2 linked regions of the Macaca mulatta genome follow. The protein of the gene in region 1 purifies or fractionates together with the protein of each later gene. This does not show direct contact. Links are inferred from orthologs where the notes say so. Each region holds a gene or a part of one and is shown in the gene's direction. Other genes may lie near its edges.

Region 1 (4,485 bases):
TAGAGAGACAGAAGTAAACAACAACAAAAACGTAGTGAGACCTTTACATACACTAGTTCTCCTGCTTCTCACAATAACTGTATGAGGTAACGATGACAACAATAATAGTTAACTCTTAACAGTGCTTATCTGTGCAGGGCCCTGGGCTACCTGCTTAATTTGCATTAACTCATTACAATAAGCTTGTGGGGTAAGGGGCATGTTTTCCCCGTTTTACAGACGAGGAAACAAGACACAGGGCAGAAAGTGATTTGCTCAAGCTTGGAACCCAGGGAGTGTGGCTCTAATTCCCAGTCTATTAACTACAGGGCAATATTTTGTTTCTTAAGTTTCTATCTTCATATCACAACTTTTAGGTGGTGGAGTCTCGTCCCCATCCAGATCGTCTGACTCCCAAATCCAGAGGTTTGCGCCTGCACCCCAGCGGCCTCGCGAAATAAATGAGAATGTCTTGGAATTTTTGTCAATACTTTCTCTTCCAAAGAACTCAAACTGATTTCCACGTAATTCCCATTGATTTGTGAAATGAACCTTCCTGGACTGTAAATTTCCCCGCAAAGACAGGGCCAGGGCCACGGGTCATTTTACACTGGCCAGGGCACCCAGCAGGTGGCGCTATGTTAGTGGCTACCAGCTGGCTGCCCAGTCCCCGGGGCTCACCGCCTCGGCCGAAAGCTTCCCGGCCCTCCCTCGCTCACTTCTCTCTCCCCCTCCCCACGGAGCCCGGGCCCACGTGACCTCAAGGCGGCCAATGGGTGAGCAGAGAGGGCGAGCTGGTCCCTGTGGCCGCCATTAAAGCGAAGGGAAAACCCGTGAATTCGGATTAAAGGGGGAAAAACACCGCCCGCTGGGCCCACAAAATGGGGGAGACTACGGCGTCCAGCCGGTGAGGCCGCAGGAGGGCAGACGTTAGGCCGGCTCGGCCCAGGGACGACACGAAGACAGAGCCAGAGAATGGTCTGAGCCCGCAGACGCCGCCACCACCTCCGCCGCTGAGGAGACTCTGGGCTTAAGGACATCGCCGCTGCCGGGCCGGGGGCCTGGGCTTCTCTCCCGGTTCTCGCCCTTCCCGCCCCTGTGTGGGCGCCTCCCCGCCCGGGAGAACCTTCCAGGGCTTGGGCTCTGCCGTCTCGGACTCGTTTTTGATTATTTATTGTGTAATTTATTATTTTTCTTGTGGTAGGGGCACACATCCCCTCCGTCTCCCAGAGAAGGACGAGCGTCTGCGGGCTCCGCAGTCCGGCCCGCCAGGCGAGCGCGGCGCGGCCCTCCCGCCTCCGGCCCTCGGCCCCGGGCGGCTGGGTGCCGGCCGGGCGGCGGGGGCTGCTCGCGGCGGCGGCAGCGGCGGCGGCGGGGGGGTGGGTGGGGAGGGCGGGCGGCCCGGCGGCCTCCTCTTCCACCGCCCCCCCAACCACTACCCCCCCCACGCCCTCCCCGGTGTCTGTGTTTCTCTCTCTGGTCGGAGGCGGCGGTAATGGCGGATGGTGGGTTGTGGCGCCGGCGGCGGCTGCTGTGAGGGACGATGAGTGCCTCCTTCGTGCCGAACGGGGCCAGCCTGGAAGATTGTCACTGTAACCTCTTCTGCCTGGTGAGTGCCGGGGCCGGCGGGCGCCGAGGGAGGGGGGCCGTGAGGTGCGCCCTTGGGCCGTGGGGGAGGGGGCCGGGTCTGGTCCAGATGCCCGAGTCCCCGGGCGAGGCCCAGCCGGAGCCGGCGCCCTGCGAAGCTCCGCGGCCAACCCCGGGAGACTGCGTTCGCTCTCCCACGGTCCCGGGCCCTGTTTGGGGAGTGTTGGCATTTTTTCTCGTCTTCTTTCGGACTCTCCTCTTCACCGTAGTCTCGTCCTCAACTTGAGCTCCTTATCTGGCAGGACAGTAACCTTTCTCTCTCTCTTAACTGTTGCTTTTCTGCTTATTGGCCTTGTATCCCAGCTTCACACTTTCCATTATTGCCCCTGCTCCCCACCGCCTTTATGTCTCATCCTTTTAATTTGGTTTCCCCATGTAAACAGGACCCCAGAACTTATGCCCCAGAAACCTGTCTTCGTTTTACATTTTTTTTGTATGAGTCAAACTAACGCAAGGTTAGTTTCTTCCTTGGGTGACTTAAGATCTCTCTGTAAAAACCAGTAGGTGCCATTTCATATGTTTTCTTTTTAAACTTTGAAAACAGTTTGCCATTTTTGACAATTTCTAGCCATCTTGCTTTTATTAGAACATAATTTTTTTTGTGCGAGTGAAGGGGGCTAATGGACGAGGTGCTGTGGTTTTGCACTGTTTCTATATTTATTGTGTTTTGCTTGCTTTTTCAGAATGTTTTGAGCAGGCTGCTCCCTTGTTTGATTGAAATGAAAAGTCCAGAGAAGCTGGGTGTAGGGATGACCATTGTGTAGGTTAGCCCAGGTCTGGTAACATCCAACAGTTGAGACTTTCAAAAGTACCAACTGTTGCAAATAACTTGGCCTGTGTGGGACAGTAGCTGAGCTTCATCAATGACTTTAAGTTTGGGTGACTTTATTTTTTCATTTTCTCCTTTGTGCTATGAGAAATATTAAGAGTATATGATAGGTAATAAGTGAGTTAAGTGGGCGGAGCACAACTAGTTGGCAAGTGTAAACTGCCAGTCATGTATCAGCAGTTTCATTTTTGGCACCTTATGCTTTGCACCTTTAAGTTAGATTAAATTATTGAATTCCTCTTGAATTTCTTTCTGGATGCTAAATTGAGATCTTTCATACTCTATCCTCTTCTACAGTATGTTTTTCTTTTCAATGTCCATTAATCAGCATCTCTTCACGTATAATACGACATACACCAGGTTTTGTATTCTATCTTATCCAACTCAGTCTATTTTTGATACTTTTAGGATCAGGCTCTTTGAAGATAGACTAGCACAAATCTGACAGTTCTTTGTGAGCAGCTATTTGACTTTTCCGACAGGGGTATGTGTGAAGAATTAACATAGATTTTTTTCAGGACTTGTTCAGATGTCTTTTCATTAGAGACATTACTTCTGTAAATGTGGAATAAAAACTCGTGATAGGGTCTTTAATAATTGATTTTCAGTTAAACGTTTGACACCAATGAATAAATGTGACCATTTAGGACAGAGAAAAATGTACTCTGTTTGTATATTGAAGTGTGTGTGTCTGTCTATATTTAACTTCATTCAGTTTCTTTTATTTCTACTTGGAGTACATATTTGCTTGCTATTCAGTGACATGGTGGTATTTATTTTTAACTGTGTTCTTCTCCCTAAAATTGTTGGTTGTTGAATTATAAAGTCATTTTTTTTTTGGTTCTAATTTGCATTCAATAGCTCAAGCATATATTGAAAAATTGTAATGTCTTAACGAAATAGGAGACATCGTATGGAGTACTTTTGTGAATATGAGTGAATATGCAATAATAAAACATCATGCTTTCTTTTCTTCAGGCTGACTTGACGGGAATTAAATGGAAAAAATATGTATGGCAAGGCCCAACTTCTGCCCCTATTCTGTTTCCTGTGACAGAAGAAGACCCCATTTTGAGCAGTTTTAGTCGCTGCCTTAAGGCAGATGTACTTGGTGTTTGGCGGCGAGATCAAAGACCTGGAAGAAGAGAATTGTGGATATTTTGGTGGGGTGAAGACCCCAATTTTGCTGACCTTATTCACCATGACTTATCAGGTGAAAGAAACTTTCCATTTCTAATTAATGATACAGCAACATTGTATACTTCTCCCAGAATATCATTTGTATTACAAAGTAAGTTTGTTTTTGTGGGACACTTAGGTAGGAGGCCAGATAAAAATTGAGCTTCATGTTTTATTTCACCATGATTATTTTATTTTACTCAAATTATCCATGTTATAGCTGGGTTTTTTAGGCTTGAATGACTTTCTCCTTTTACCACCTCTCTTCTTAATTTCTCACGGGTAGTTAGGGTCCAAGGAAGGCATGCCACATTAATCTCAAAAAATGGAATCAGGAAACAGAGTTCCTAACAAAGTCATGTAATAGTTTTGAAGCCAGATGTAACTTTTGAGTCACTTCAGCCACTGTCAAAGTTGAGTCTTTTGCATTAAATGGGCAGATGATTCTAAAAGTACTGGAAATGTAACTATCCTTGTGTTTGTGTGTGTGTGTGCGCGCATGTTTTAAGGTATGTAAGTATTTTGTTACTGTCATTTGTGCTGTTTGATTAACATATGAAGGCATATGTTAATTTAGTTATTTTTGGAAAGTGACTCATATACTGTTCTGTCACATACTCAATAAGAGACAAGTGCCAACTTGTTTAGCTTTTATAGGACATGGGATCATAATCTAAAAGGTTACACAAACAATTTTATTATGAGCAAATCAATGTGATTACTTCCTTATTTTCTTGACTTTTAGGACCAAATGCTACTTTAGAAAGAGAAACTATAGCTTTTCATAATAATTACTGAAGCTTTGAACTGTCAAAGTCAGTATTTACTGAATCTTAGATAATAGGAATGTA
Region 2 (4,577 bases), about 31 Mb from region 1:
TTGCTGCAGAGAGCTGTGCTGAGGCCCTTTACCTGTACAGCGGACCCTCCAACAGCACTTCTGTCTATGGTCCTACTCGGCAAGGATCTGCCTCCACACAGCCCTCCCAATGTGCCTGAAAATATCAGCAGTGATCCTTTCCCTGGCCACCTTGCTCTTAAGGCTCCTGTTCATAGTACTATGTGGATGTGGACCTCCTCGCCTCTCTGCACTGCCCATGATGGTGGATTACAGCAGAATGGGCTCGCCAGTTGACAGCTTTCCCCACTCATGTCTTCTAACTAGCTAAGCTTAGGGTGGCTGTCCCCATTGCGCAGAAAATTGCTACTTAGCCCTCATAGCAAACTTGTTTTGAGAAGCATAACCATAAACCCATCTTTGGCCTACGATCCTAGGGAGTCCTCATGCCAACAAGACCTTTTGGGGTCAGCCACGAATGTGAAGTTAGAATGCAGTTTAGGCTCTGCCATGACTCTGAACTAAATATGATTTTAGGGGTGAGGAAACTGGGACCTAGGGGTTTGAGGAACTGGCCCGAAGGTATGGAGAGTACCTGACTTTGTCGTTCTTCCAGGATATGATATTTATTCCTGGCACGAATCCCCTCTACCTTGTATTGAAAGCAAGGACAGCCTCCCTGCAACCACACATTACACCTGGCCATCCAGCAGGTGCATACTAAAAGTGTGTTGAGTTGAATTATCAGACTCTCAGCAGCCATGCAGCACTGAAGGGACCGCAATCCCTTTGCCTCTGCGTCCTTAGGGCTAAGCAGGAGGTCTCGATGTCTCGCACTGTGGGCCGGGCCGGGTTTGGTGCCTCAGCCAGCAGGTAAGTGCTGTCTACGCCTCCTGCAGGTCCAGTGGTTCCTCTCCAGACTTGGGTGCACTGGGCCAGGCTGCGCCTTACTGACCTCAAGGCTTCCTGTGTTTGTGGCTTTGGGGCCCTCTTCATCGTGTGAATAGGAATAAGAAGATTGTTATTTCTGGCCAGGTGCGGTGGCTTGCGCCTGTAATCTCAGCACTTTGGGAGGCCGAGGAGGGCGGATCACCTGAGGTGGGGCGTTCGAAACCATCAACATGAAGAAACCCCGTCTCTACTAATAATACAAAATTAGCCGGGCGTGGTGGTGTATGCCTGTAATCCCAGCTACTTGGGAGGCTGAGGGAGGAGAATCATTTGAACCCGGGAGGCGGAGGTTGCTTTGAGCCGAGATCACGCCACTGCACTCCAGCCTGGGCAACAAGAGCGAAACTCCGTCTCAAAAAAAAAAATTGTTATTTCTGAAATAAATCCCCTATTTCTCACTATTTAATAATATTTAAATAATTTTGGGTCTTGACTCAACCCAAAACCAGGCACCCCAGACCCACCCACGGCCCGTCGCCTAGCAACAGTCTCCCCACCCCGCCTCCGCCCCGTTGCCAGCCGAGTGCCCAGTGCGCATGCTCAGAGCCTTCCTCCACACTGCGCCCCTGCAGGGCGCGCGGTGGTGACGTATAGAGTTCGCGACGCTGTCGGCGACCCGACCTCTGGGTTAACCTAACCCCGGAGCCATGGCCTCTGCTGGGGTGGCAGCCGGGCGACAGGCGGAGGATGCATTGCCGCCAACGTCCGACCAGCCGCTGCCTGACACCAAGCCGCTGCCGCCCCCTCAGCCGCCGCCTGTCCCTGCGCCTCAGCCGCAGCAGTCGCCGGCGCCACGGCCTCAGTCACCTGCCCGCGCGAGGGAGGAAGAGAACTACTCCTTTTTACCTTTGGTTCACAGCATCATCAAATGGTAAGAACCTAGGAGAGGACCAGGCCCCATACTCCCTCCAGCTTCTCGTCTCAGCCGTTTCAGAGCTTCAAGAGGCCTTGGCGCTCTAGGGCACGCCCCCGTTTCGCAGATGGGGAAACTCAGACCCAGAGCGGGAAGAGGCCTTTCCCAAGACCACAGAGACATTCCATGAGTTAAGCAAACGATTTGAGCCCCGAGAGGTGCGATATCCTTAAGAATGAAGCCAGCTTAGAGACTACATACAGACTCTTGTCCAGCGGCTCAAACGTGCATCCCATCGATCTTGAGCAAATTAAATCTCTTTAAGTCTCAGTTTTCTCACCTTTAATGTTAGTAATACTCACTTTAGTTCCTTATTTCAACAGACTCAACAGATAAGCATCATCTTCCCTGTGTGGGACACTGCCAAGTGCTATGGGATGGACACAGTAAAAGGGGCATAGAAGGAAAAAAAAAGACATGATTGGGAATAACCCATAATTCAAAAAGATTGAGAGGGGAGCGGTGGCGATGGGAAATATTAGACTAAGCAAAAACACAGAAGTTGCCTGAGATGATTAGACCCACCTGTACTGACTTTGTTCCAACAGTACCAAAGGAGATAATTGTCATCCTTTTGGCCAGCCTTTAGGGTAGCCTGAGTTTTCAAAGTGACTCTGTAAAGGAAAAACCAAAAACAAAAGCACGAAAGTCTTACTGATCCCAGTGTTTGCCTAAATTATTATTTTTTTTTTTGAGACAGGGTCTCGCTCTGTCACCCGGACTGGAGTACAGTGGCGTGATCTCGTCTCACTGCAGCCTCAACCTCCAGGCCTCAAGCCATCCTCCCACCTCAGCCTCCCAAGTAACCGGAACCACAGGCATGAGCCACAGCACCCAGCGAATTTTTGTACTTTTTGTAGAGATGGAATTTAGTCGTGTTGCCTAGGCTGTAAATTATTTTCATTATGTTACTTCACTCTATATCCACGTGATAGTAGGTGTAAACCCTTAGGCTTATAACTCTTATTCAGCCATTAAAGACCACAAAGTAAATTAAAAGAAAATTACGAATCCAGTAACATTCAGGTGAACATGAATGTGCTCTTCACTGTTTTACTGAAACGGAATTGTTACAACGTGAAGGTCTTGACCGTTAGTGGCCCACCCACTTTTGAGTTTAAGCAAACTAGATTCACTTGCTGTGGGATGACCTGATGCTCTTCTGCCACTTTTCAAATAACTACAAAGGCTTTGTTCTCACATTAGACCCTGGCTTCATTTGGCTTCACTTGGTGTTTACTGTTTATAAGGGCCGGGCGTGGTGTCTCATGCCTGTAATCCAAGCACTTTGGGAGGCCAAGGCAGGCGGATCACGAGGTCAGGAGTTTGAGACCAGCCTGGCCAACATGGTGAAACCCTGTCTCTTACTAAAAACAAAAATTAGCCAGGTGTGGTGGTGGGTGCCCGTAATCCCAGCTAATCGGGAGGCTGAGGCAGGAGAATCACTTGAACCTGGGAGGTGGAGGTTGTATTGAGCCGAGATCATGCCGTTGCACTCCAGCCTGGGCAACAAGAGCAAGACTCTGTCTCAAAAATAAATAAATAAATAAATAAATTTAAAAAAATGTTTCTGGGATAAGACAGCCTGTTCAGTTTTTGTGAGCCTGTGATAATGATCACAGACAGAAATACGTATGGAGCCCCTATAATCCCAGGGCAGTGCCGGATTATAAAGGGTTTAGTCAGATTAACCCCAGTTTACTGGTTTTAAGAAAAATGTGGAAAAAGGAAAACACAAAATGTACACATTCACAAAGACAGCTCTTGAACCCCCCAAGAGTATATTCTTGAGCCCTGGTAAAGCAGCTGGATTGGGCTGGCCTTAAAGATGTAGTAGTAAGTTATACTACAGAGAAGAGGCTTTGAAGTTAGACAGTCCTGAGTTCAAATCTGTATACTGACATTTTCATGCCTTCTAATATTGATATAAATGTCTAACCTTTCTAGGCCATAATCTTCTTATCTCTAATATGTCCATAGTGGACCTCAAAAGAGAGGTTTAGATTATGTAATAGCTCTATAATGTGCTGACTGGGTGACCTGGGCAAGTAGCTTAGCTTCTCTGAGCCTGTTTTTCTCTTATGAAATGGGAATGCTTATGTCATAGGATTGTTGGGAGATGTACTCAAGAGCGTACCTGTGAAACCTAGTGGGCTGATCACATGTGCTTGTCTCTGTTTCGTCTAAAGGGACACAGAAGGGACTTAAAAAAAAAATACATAAAACCTTCAGATGCAGTGGCTCATGCCTGTAATCCCAACACTTTAGGAGGCTGAGGTGAGCTGGTCGCTTGAGCCTGGGAGTTCAAGACCAGCCTGGGCAACATGGCAAAACCCCATCCCTACAAAAAATACAAAAAAAAAAAAATTAGCCAGGCGTGGTGTGTGCCTGCAGTCCTGGCTACTTGGAAGGCTGAAGTGGGAGGATCACTTGAACCCAGATCATGCCACTGTACTTTAGCAAGGGTGACAGAACGAGACCCTATCTCAAAAATAAAAAGCATAAAACCGAAAAGAATAGGACAGGAGATGATCGCTACAAAGTGAATGACCAGTGCTAATTCATCTACCAACTCCTAAGCAGCTGGCTTGTTAAACATGGCCTACCCCCAGATCTCAGGAACTCTAGTGCAAGGACCCCCTGGAAATAGGGGTGAAGGTGGGTCTAAGAACAGGATGATTACTTGAAGTCTGTTTAAGAAGCAGTCCTGTCCCACCTCCCAGCCCCTCCAAGCGGCCAGGTGACTACCCTTCTT

Evidence for each region.
Region 2: the proteins of MED13 (region 1) and MED9 purify together in Homo sapiens (affinity purification with mass spectrometry; 6 studies listed by BioGRID and IntAct, with this or other methods). This does not show direct contact. The link is inferred for Macaca mulatta from reciprocal best matches to the Homo sapiens genes MED13 and MED9.

The regions. Positions count from the first base shown.
Region 1 is NC_133421.1:49,804,417-49,808,901, reverse strand, and holds the start of MED13 (mediator of RNA polymerase II transcription subunit 13), read left to right. Parts: upstream 1-1,389; 5' UTR 1,390-1,522; coding exon 1,523-1,588; intron 1,589-3,433; coding exon 3,434-3,668; intron 3,669-4,485. UniProt on the Homo sapiens protein: Component of the Mediator complex, a coactivator involved in the regulated transcription of nearly all RNA polymerase II-dependent genes.
Region 2 is NC_133421.1:19,031,617-19,036,193, forward strand, and holds the start of MED9 (mediator of RNA polymerase II transcription subunit 9), read left to right. Parts: upstream 1-1,524; 5' UTR 1,525-1,556; coding exon 1,557-1,780; intron 1,781-4,577.